Drosophila melanogaster: one gene and its partner. The protein of the gene in region 1 purifies or fractionates together with the protein of each later gene. This does not show direct contact. Each region holds a gene or a part of one and is shown in the gene's direction. Other genes may lie near its edges.

Evidence for each region. The genes of interacting proteins can lie anywhere in the genome.
Region 2: the proteins of Hs2st (region 1) and Hs6st purify together in Drosophila melanogaster (affinity purification with western blotting, with the first as the bait; one study listed by BioGRID). This does not show direct contact.

The regions. Positions count from the first base shown.
Region 1 is NT_033779.5:19,442,116-19,446,864, reverse strand, and holds Hs2st (heparan sulfate 2-O-sulfotransferase), read left to right. Parts: upstream 1-2,114; 5' UTR 2,115-2,245; coding exon 2,246-2,372; intron 2,373-2,437; coding exon 2,438-2,756; intron 2,757-2,814; coding exon 2,815-2,953; intron 2,954-3,013; coding exon 3,014-3,234; intron 3,235-3,317; coding exon 3,318-3,561; 3' UTR 3,562-4,032; downstream 4,033-4,749. Other genes in the region: RanGAP (Ran GTPase activating protein), read right to left, coding at 13-189, 267-768, 839-1,520, 1,580-1,679. UniProt on the Drosophila melanogaster protein: Catalyzes the transfer of sulfate to the C2-position of selected hexuronic acid residues within the maturing heparan sulfate (HS).
Region 2 is NT_033777.3:20,005,496-20,010,533, reverse strand, and holds the start of Hs6st (heparan sulfate 6-O-sulfotransferase), read left to right. Parts: upstream 1-2,021; 5' UTR 2,022-2,373; intron 2,374-3,874; 5' UTR 3,875-4,113; coding exon 4,114-4,299; intron 4,300-5,038. Other genes in the region: MED25 (mediator complex subunit 25), read right to left, coding at 1-1,474.

The DNA.
Region 1 (4,749 bases):
AGAATATCTTACGTTGACAATCGACTGCAAAGCCTCAAGTTTGTTATCCATATCTAGCGAATCGAAATCTTCCTGGGAGCAGGGTTTCTGGCTCAAACAGAACTTCTCTGGAGTGCATTTTTGGCTGATCGTCTTGTTCGCGACCGCAAAAGTTTCGCTGGCCATCGAGTTGGTTGTGTCGTTAAAAAGCTGTGAAAATTTAAAATTAAAGATAATTCGATTAATTGCTGTTACCATTTGCACAGTACTCCGAAGTATAAACTAACCTTGGTCGTGTAGGCATTCGTAGTGACATAGGCAGTCTCCTCCGCGACGTTGCTGTACTCCTCGTCTCCCTCGTCTTCCTCGTCGTCCTCGTCGCCCTCGCTATCCTCATCTGCTTCTTCGGTAGTATCGTTGGCGTGCTCGTGTACTTCCTCTTCCTCTTCGTAATCTGCGTCCTGCTTGTCAGCCTGGTATTCATCTTCCAAATCCTCCTCTTCCTGGTGCTGAAACGGTTGCAGTGCGGCAGCAGTTGGCAACTTACTCATCTCGCTGATTATCTTCTCGCTGCCTTCTTCTCCAAAGCTATTGCCATCTAGATTCAAGATGCGTAGCTTGGGCTTGTTTCCCATAGCATTCACCAACACCAAGCCGCCGTCGCTGTTGATTTCGTTAAAACCTAAGTCGATAACTTCCAGTCGTTCGTTTCCTCTCTCCAGAGCCTCACCGAAGTGGTAGGCGCCATTAGTTTTGATCAGGCAGTCTCCAAAGCTCATTTCACGCAGCCTGCAAAGCAAAAAGATATCACATAACACTCACTCACTCTCCCTCATCAAAAACTTTATAACCGACTCACAGTGGCAAGAAGGGAAGAGCCTCAGCTATTTTTTCAGCTCCCTCGGACTTTAGAGTATTGTCGTTCATGTTTAGCACTCGTAGATGAGGATTATGCTTGAAGGATTCGGCAAGGGCCTCGACGCCTTCGATGTAAATGGAGTTTTGCTCCAGAACAATCTCCTCGAAGGTCTTGAGGGTTTGGAATGCGGTTGCCATTTCCGTAGCACCGGCATCCTCGAGACGATTGCGCGAACCTATGAACACACGCAGCTGGAGCGGGAAGCCCGCCTTGTTGGCATTGGCATGCAGATCGATCAGAGCCCGGGACAGCATACTACCGCCCTCGGGACCAAGGCCACAATTGCACAGCAGCAGCTCCTGCAGCGAGTAGCAGACCGGGGATCGCAGTAACTCCTCTAAGCCTCGCATGCCATTCGGTCCTAAGGCATTGTCGCTGAGATCCAGGACTGTCAGTTTGGCGCCCGCGACAATTAGCGCGGCTCCCAGGTGCTTGAGTGCCTCCGGAATCTCCGATATGAGACGACCAGTAAACATGTTCTTCCACAGCGCCTTCCGAAACTCTGGATGACGCTTCAGACCCTCACCAATCGCCTTGGCGGCCTCAACGCCCAGTGTGTTCCCGTCCAGATTCAGATAGTGCACGGTGGTCTGTTTGTTAAGGGCATCCACCACATCCTGGACTGTAAAAAGCCTCAATATAGCCACTGCATGGAGTACCCAAAGCGTCACCCAAACTTACCATCGGCAGCTGTGTTCCAGGAAAGCACCTTGTTCTCGAATGATATTCCCTGCTCCTGGCCCAGTTGGGCGGCCATGCTGGCGAAGTTAAAGGTGGACATGCTTGCTTTTAAATGGAATTATTTTATACGAGTGTATATAAGTCGCACTGTACTTTGCGATTGCAGCCGGCTTGCGAAATTTATTTTAACCTCGCAAAAATGGGCGCTAGAATTTTGGCATTGCTTGGTATTATTTGCCGGCAAGGGTGGTCACACTAATAAAAACAGTGATGCTCAAGGCAAAAGGGTTGCTGAAGGGTGATGCAGATCTGGTTGTGACTGGCCTAAAATATTCTGTGTTGTGTTTTAGGAAAAACATATTTATTGAAGTTATAAATATAAGGCAATTAATTTACGGATTCCTAGCTGGAAATTAAATGCAATTATCCGAGCTAGCATTTTGAGCTATTTTCCATCACTAATTTAGTCATCTCAGCTACAGCTGCACATTCCCACAGATTCACCAGATTTCAGTGCCTTGCAGCACTGTCCAGCAGCTGCTGACCAACACTGCTCGATGTTGGTTGCAGAAAAAAAACAAGGAAAACAACGACCTGAGATTATGCTGAAATAAATACGCTGATATGAGCTACCGTGCTGACCTGTAGGGCAAACCGACACGAGGCATGTTTAGGAAACTGCTTAAGATGTGGATTCTGCTCCGACCCACCCACTGGCTGATCCTGATAGCCCTGTGCGCGGTCACCTGTGCAGGTTACTGGTTGCTTTGGTCAGAGATTCGCCTGGAACATGGTAAGTGGAGTCCGGTAGTTAGGCAAAACCATATCACTTTTACACCCATTACCTACTTTGTGCAGCCTTCAAGCCGCTTTCCAAGCTGGGCGATTCTCTGAGCCCAGATCAGCATGCCTCGTCCACCACCGATGACTTTGACTTCGAGGAGCACCTAGTGGTGCTTTACAATCGCGTACCGAAAACGGGATCCACCAGCTTTGTTAACATAGCATACGATCTGTGCAAGCCCAATAAATTCCATGTGCTGCACATCAATGTCACTGCCAACATGCACGTCCTCTCGCTTCCCAATCAAATCCAATTCGTGCGCAATGTTTCCAGGTGGCACGAGATGAAGCCAGCTCTTTATCACGGCCACATGGCCTTCCTAGACTTCTCAAAGTAGGTAACATCTAGCCAATCCAGCAGAGCCCGTCTCAATTGCATTACTCCTTTGCAGATTCCAAATCGCCCACAAGCCCATCTACATCAATTTGGTGCGCAAACCGCTCGACAGACTTGTCTCCTACTATTACTTTCTACGCTTTGGCGACAACTACCGACCGAATTTAGTCCGCAAGAAGGCGGGCAATAAAATTGTAGGTAGAGCATCAAGGTATTAACCTCCCTGTAACCAAAGCCCTCACACATCTTTGCAGACCTTCGATGAGTGCGTGGTGCAGAAACAACCCGACTGTGATCCCAAAAACATGTGGCTGCAGATACCCTTCTTCTGTGGCCATGCAGCCGAGTGCTGGGAACCCGGCAGCAGTTGGGCCTTGGACCAGGCCAAGCGCAATCTAGTCAACGAATACTTCCTAGTCGGAGTCACAGAGCAGATGTACGAGTTTGTGGATCTGCTCGAGAGATCCCTTCCAAGGTGTGCCTCCCAACCATATGTTATTGTCTGTTTTAGAATACTCCAGTTGCTTCATTGACCTGTTCTTTTTTTTTCTTTTGCAGAATTTTTCACGGCTTTCGTGAGCACTATCATAATTCAAACAAATCTCATCTGCGGGTGACATCTTCCAAGCTTCCGCCCAGCGAATCGACAATTAAATCCATTCAAAAGACAAAAATCTGGCAAATGGAAAACGATCTGTACGATTTCGCGCTGGCCCAATTCGAGTTCAACAAGAAGAAGCTCATGCAGCCGGACAACAAGCACGTGCAGAAATTCATGTACGAGAAGATTCGGCCCAAATGATTGCAGAGGAGGCGACGGAGTCGCAGAGCGAGGATTCGGCCGACTCCAGTGATCTAACCAGGAGTCTCCGACAATTGTATTGTAAATACGTAATTCTCCTTCGCATAGATTTGATCTGTACTTAAGAGTAACTCATCCGTACACTTAAGCGCTACCTAAGACTTTAGCATTGAATATCGTTGACATATTACTAACCCAAACCTTTTGTACGTAGTCTAAGCTTTAAACGTATAAAACAGGCGAGAACGCTTTTGTAGTTCATCGTAAGCAATATCTAGCAACAATTGTCTGCACAATATCTCTATATGATTAGTCAAATGTACGTTTTATACTCGACAATACAACGGAATGAATGGATGAATTGAATCGATATGCATACGTAGAACTAGAAATAGGTGTAAATTCATATGTAATCGACTCTCATTGTTTGTAACTCTCATAGGCTAGGCCATAAATCTGAATTTGACATTCAAATTAAATGCATGTAAATACCTAATAGATAATGGAGTGTCTGTCCGTCTGTCTGTCTGTATGTCCATGTGAAGCGCGCTGTGCGTATCAACAGCTGTCGCTGGGATTGCGTGTTCGTAAATTGATTAATGCCATCAGTGGGTTACTTTTAACTTTCAGCGTTCTGTACTTCGACTTAGCTAATTGCACTTGGCTGCCCAACGAAATTCCGCCGGACTTTAAAGGCTGACGTAGCTCCGTGCTCGAAGGTGATCGTCTGACTGGAGGACGGAATGACCGAATGGCTAAATGGCGGAATGGCGGTCCGACACGCAGAATGGGCTCAGGCAAGCGCAAGAAATGGCATGGAAATACATTTGGAAACGGCGAGCAGTGAAATACTTAATTAATTGCTCGTGCTTGAAACTAAAAGCAAATGAGCTCGAATTACCCACAGCCCCCGTCAGTCAGTTGATCACTTGATCGTGGAACGCGGACACGCCAGTCGAAAGAAGGTACATTAGCTAGTGTCCGGCAGAAAAGCAGAAAGTTACTGTTGTGTCGAACGGGAGGAGTGATAGCCAAAGCAATAACTTACACACTTACGATCCGTAAGAGGGATTACAAACTCGTTTTTCACTCAGTCACAGTGGCGAAGGCGATTAGTCTTTAAACTACTCGTGTACGGAGCGTTCAAAAGTTCAAGTCTAATTGCATCCAAGTCGCGTAACCATCAGA
Region 2 (5,038 bases), on another chromosome or scaffold:
GTTGCTGCTGCTGCGGATTAGACATGTTGCCGGCATTGCTAGCCGGCATCATATTGTTTCCTGCATTGGGATTTACCTGCTGCTGTTGCTGTCCTTGCTGCTGCTGTTGCTGTTGCTGGGCCAGTTGCTGTTGCTGCTGCAACTGCTGGTGATTTAGCATCTGCTGCTGGCTCAGCATCTGCATCCTTTGTTGCTGCTGCTGTTGGGCCTGTTGTTGCTGCTGCTGCTGCTGCTGCGCCTGCTGCTGTTGCTGCTGCTGCAGCGAGGTCACAGTTTGGTTCGGCGGCGGCGCATTAATGCGCGATATCAGAGCAGAATTTGGATTCTGTTGCATGCCGCCGCCTTGGCCCACACCGCCCACATTGCCTGCTCCCTGCATGAAGGGCGGACGCGCCTGACCAGGCTGGTTGGGATACATCCAGCGGTTTTGGCCGGGTCCCACGTTTTGCTGGAAGTTCTGATTCTGCATTTGATTGGAAACGAATTGATTCTGCTGCTGCTGCTGCAATAGTTGCTGCTGCTGCTGTGGATTGAGTAAGCCCGCTGGGGGATTTGGACCGGGCTGCTGTTGCTGCATCGTGTTCATGTTCATGACCTGCTGCTGAGGATTGCCTTGTTGTTGCTGTTGCTGCTGCTGTTGTTGTTGCTGTTGCTGCTGCTGGGCTGGAGTGGTGTCCATGGGCATGCCCTGCCCTTGTTGTTGCTGACCAGCTTGATTTTGTTGCTGTTGTTGTTGCTGCTGCACTGTAGCCTGTGCCGCATTGGGTGCAGCCATTTGGGCCGCCATGCTGTTGGGACTAGGTGCTCTCTCCTTGAGGCTGTATCCCTTTAGAAGCACTAGGTGTCTTATGTTCTTGGCATAGTTTTTGCTCGTAATGGGCTGATCTCCGTCGGCCTTCATGAAAAGTTTGAACAACACCGGCATCTTGCGTGGCGCAATAATGGAGAGATTGATTTTGCGCTCGTTGAAGAGCGCCGCCAGCTGCTCACATGATTTGCCCGGATACTTCCACGACTCCGTTGTGGGCATCTGGTACGGCGGACTGTTGCAGATGAGAATGCAGTGCCTCTGGACGCTGGTCTGATCGAGCAACTGGCGCCTTTCGCTGATGTCATCAAAACAGCCGTGGGCCGCAGCAAATCCTTCGGCCATGTGGGCACAGGACTCCATTCCGCCTCCCACTAGTGGCAATCTTTCGATCGTCTCCATCACTTTTTGGGGCTGCAGAAAGGGACCATAGGTTGAACAAACTGGCTCCAGCAGATTGGCCGCTGTACGGTAGACCACAATACCGTACAGAGTGGCAAAGCGCTCCGCAATCAGGTATTCCCGCTCGTCGATGGAGCCAGTGGTGAAGTGCTCCAAAGTCGGCAGGATGTAGTTGGTCTTTAGTTCGTTGATGTAGGCTCCGTTGATGGCGCTGCCCTCGATGACGAAGACCACGTCGGCCAGGGGAATCTGGTCCACCTCCATTGGACGATGGGAGTTGGCTTTAAGTTGAAAAACTTGTTGCAAAAAATGTAAACTATGTTGTCTGCTTTACACCGCTCTTTTACTTTTTTCGTTTGTTTTGCATATCGCTCTGCTGCTATCGATAGTCAACTTATGGTTATCGCTCAGCGATTGCTAGGGCTGCAAAATAAATGAATATTCAAAAGTGCCCATAAAGTTGGATTTAAGAATATGCAGATTGCCTTGAAAACTTGTTTCTATTGAATTCTTTTTCTATTTTCACAAATAAAAAAACGTTTGGTGTTTATCTAATTAACTTAAAATTGAATATTGCATACAAAAGATAACTATAAATAAGATATTACGATGTTTTATGTTAGGTATCATAATTATAGTTGTTTTATGTATGTATTTTCAATGGAACTATAAAGTTAATTCTTTAAATATTCGTTACCAATAGTTTATATCGATGGTTGCAAGTGCTGCCAGACTCTCGCAGCGAGTTTCCGTTCGGCAGTCTGGCAGCGCGGTCAGCTGTTCCTATTGCCCAACTTGCGCAGTTCGTTTTGTTCAGTTCATTCGCCGATTTTGAAGAATGCGGACGTTGACGCTGGTACCGCGTCGTTTTGCCAAAATAATTCGTAAAAAATATACGCAAAACGCTTAGAAAGTGTCAATTAACTAAACATTAGCTATTGAGCAGTGCAAGTGCAGGAAAAACGATCGCAGAAATAGCCGAAAACACATGAAAGTGCGAATTGCGGGCTTTTTTGTGGCTGGCACAGAATGTGTGGCACAAAGCGGAAAGCGCGCTAATTGAGCGTGCGAGCGCCTGAAACGCAGAGAAATGTAAATAAATAAACGTGTGACGCCGCGACAATTGTGAAAAGTGCACAAACACGACGTTTGGCAAGTGAAAAGTGAGTGAAATCTAGATAAATTTCATTAAATTGCCCATTTCGCATCTGGCAAGAAGAACAGCTGTTGTTTGGCATCTCGCTCTGTCTGGTTGTCCTCTCTCTTATTTTGCCCTCTCTCTGTTTTTGTTGCTCCCCTTTGCTTCTGTTTTTTTTTACTGCAATGTTGCTAAATCGTTTGATTCTATTATTATAATTATACTCCTTGCCCTGACGTCACTGCCTCGAAAAACCTGATAATTTGGGTAGGCAATTAGCATGGTTTAAGTATAGTTTAGAGTACAGAGAAGTGAATTAAACGGCCATGTGTGCACAGCATGCATGCTTTTTTGTTATTGTTGCCTGGCAACATGTTTCGCCACATCTGCCTTTTTTTTCTTGTCTCTCTGTTAGTCCAATTTGCCAATAAGCAACTTTTCCATTTGTTTACAATAATTGTGATCGCTACAGAAGCACCGATCGTGAAGTAAAAAGCGCCTACATAAATATAAGGCACCAGTTATGCTTGGGCGTCACTCCGACTGCCGATCGCCAGTTATTTTAGTTGGGTGTTTGTACATTTAAATACCCTACCTAAATGCAACTTACTCGCATGTAGTCAATATCATTCAAACCCTAATATGTTACGCATTTTCCAATCGGGTTTATCACATATAAACAATATCGAAGCCAGATAAAGCGACTTGTGATAATAATCACCCATACAACAAAGGCTGTTCATTCATTATATTTACCATATTATTGATAACTATTTTTATAACTGAACTACAATATGTTCTTATAAATAAAGAATCACTAGATAATTTAAATATTAAATGAAATAAGTACAAACTATTTTTTAACTATAATAAGTTATTATTTGAGTAATTGCACGTATTATCATGTACGGATGTAGGTTTTTTGCTTTAAATAATAAACGTATTTAAACGTATTTTTAATTGATTAAGGGTATACTAAATGCATTGCTTTCGGCTCCGCCATTCACTTTCCACTATTGCGTCATTATTGGTTGATTTATGTATTTTATCGTTACGCTATACATTTGCAGATCGCATTCGCGCGTGGAAATTTAATTTAAGATTTCCCACACAAATAAAGATAAATTTGTTATTGCACAAACGTTTGTTATTCACGCCCGTCTTGAATACTTACTAATAGATTTGCAATTAAAATAGGGTCAGATTAAACGATAAATCAACTTCACCGCCTGCTTATCAGTTTTTGACCCTAACAAAAAAATAGAAAGTCCAATTAACTATGTATGTACGTTTTAATTGTGAACTTCTTATCAGTCTGCCATAGATTTAGGTTCTTAAAAACTATTTTTGATTTTCCCCTGAAGAGCTTTCAGCTACTAAGTAAGTGGCTAGATAAGGGCTAGACAATTTGACAGACCGCTTTATCGGCATGGTCAAGTGGTAACTAATCGGAAACGGTGTTGCTTTTGTAGTGCTCCCAAAACTAATAGGTTTCTAACCGTTTTTCACTCTTACTCCATTTGCAGGCACTGAAAGCCGAGAGACAAGGAAAACCCATTTCCGCGCCAAGTGCAATGGGCGAAGGTGTTCCCATTTTTCGAGTTCTTATCGGGCAGCGACTGAAGTATGATTGAGTTGGCCTCGCCTCCGATTCGCGTCTGGTTCTCGTTGCGCTAGGCCGATACGGATACCCGCTTGGACTCCACTCGGGTGGACCCTTGTTGGACCTTTAGTGCGATTTTCGAGGGAGGCCAGGGAATGGAACATGCCCGGGGATATGCATAAGAACGTATCTGTTCAAGTCGATAGTGATTTTGCCTTATTGCTGCCCAGTGGTGTTTATGAAATCAAGAAAATGGAACCGCGCTCCAAAATCCGAACAATCATTGTGTTTTGCCTCTTCCTGGCCATCGCCGGCATCATCGGATTTGGATACTTTTGTCAAGATCAGGTAAGTGCCAAATCCCCTCATTAATTCCCATTGCTTATAATTTATAATTTTCTGTTACTTGGCTCCAATGCAAATTAGCACACCAATTGGCGAAATGCTGAATTTATTCATTAATATTTGCCGTACATGTGTGCTTTTATTGGAATTACCATTCATACATTTTTGGATCGCACGAAACTTGTTTTGCTATGGCGCATTAATAAATTTATTATTTAAAATATTCGTATAAAAATATGCGTTGGAGTGTTTTTCCCTTCGGCGCTAAAGACAGCTTTTATAATATAGAACTCTTTCTCGATGTTTATCAATTTTTTGGGAGCTTTAATTAGACAAAACAAAATGTTTTGTTTACAGCCTTTCGGTTGGCGCCTTTAAAACTCGGAAATTGTTTACGCAAACGCAAAGGTGCTAATGAAATTCCTCCAAAAATGGAAAATGTGTAACATAATAAGATTTCGCTTGCAGGCGATTGTGCTTCTGTGTTATTATTCATAAATCTTTGACACGCGTGCCCCGTATTGAAATTAGTCTAATCTGTAGCATAAAGTTTACAAACAACTATGGATTTCTGGTTGGTATATTTGGGTCACTACTCATAATATCGCCCATAAATCTTCGGCGTGGTTGATTGAAATTTGTCTTATCTGTTGGACTAATAAGGCTTCCCCCCGCGCATCTAATGAATGATTTAATGGCCGAGGTGTAAAGTGCATTCGTGGGCCATAAAAACCGAACCGAG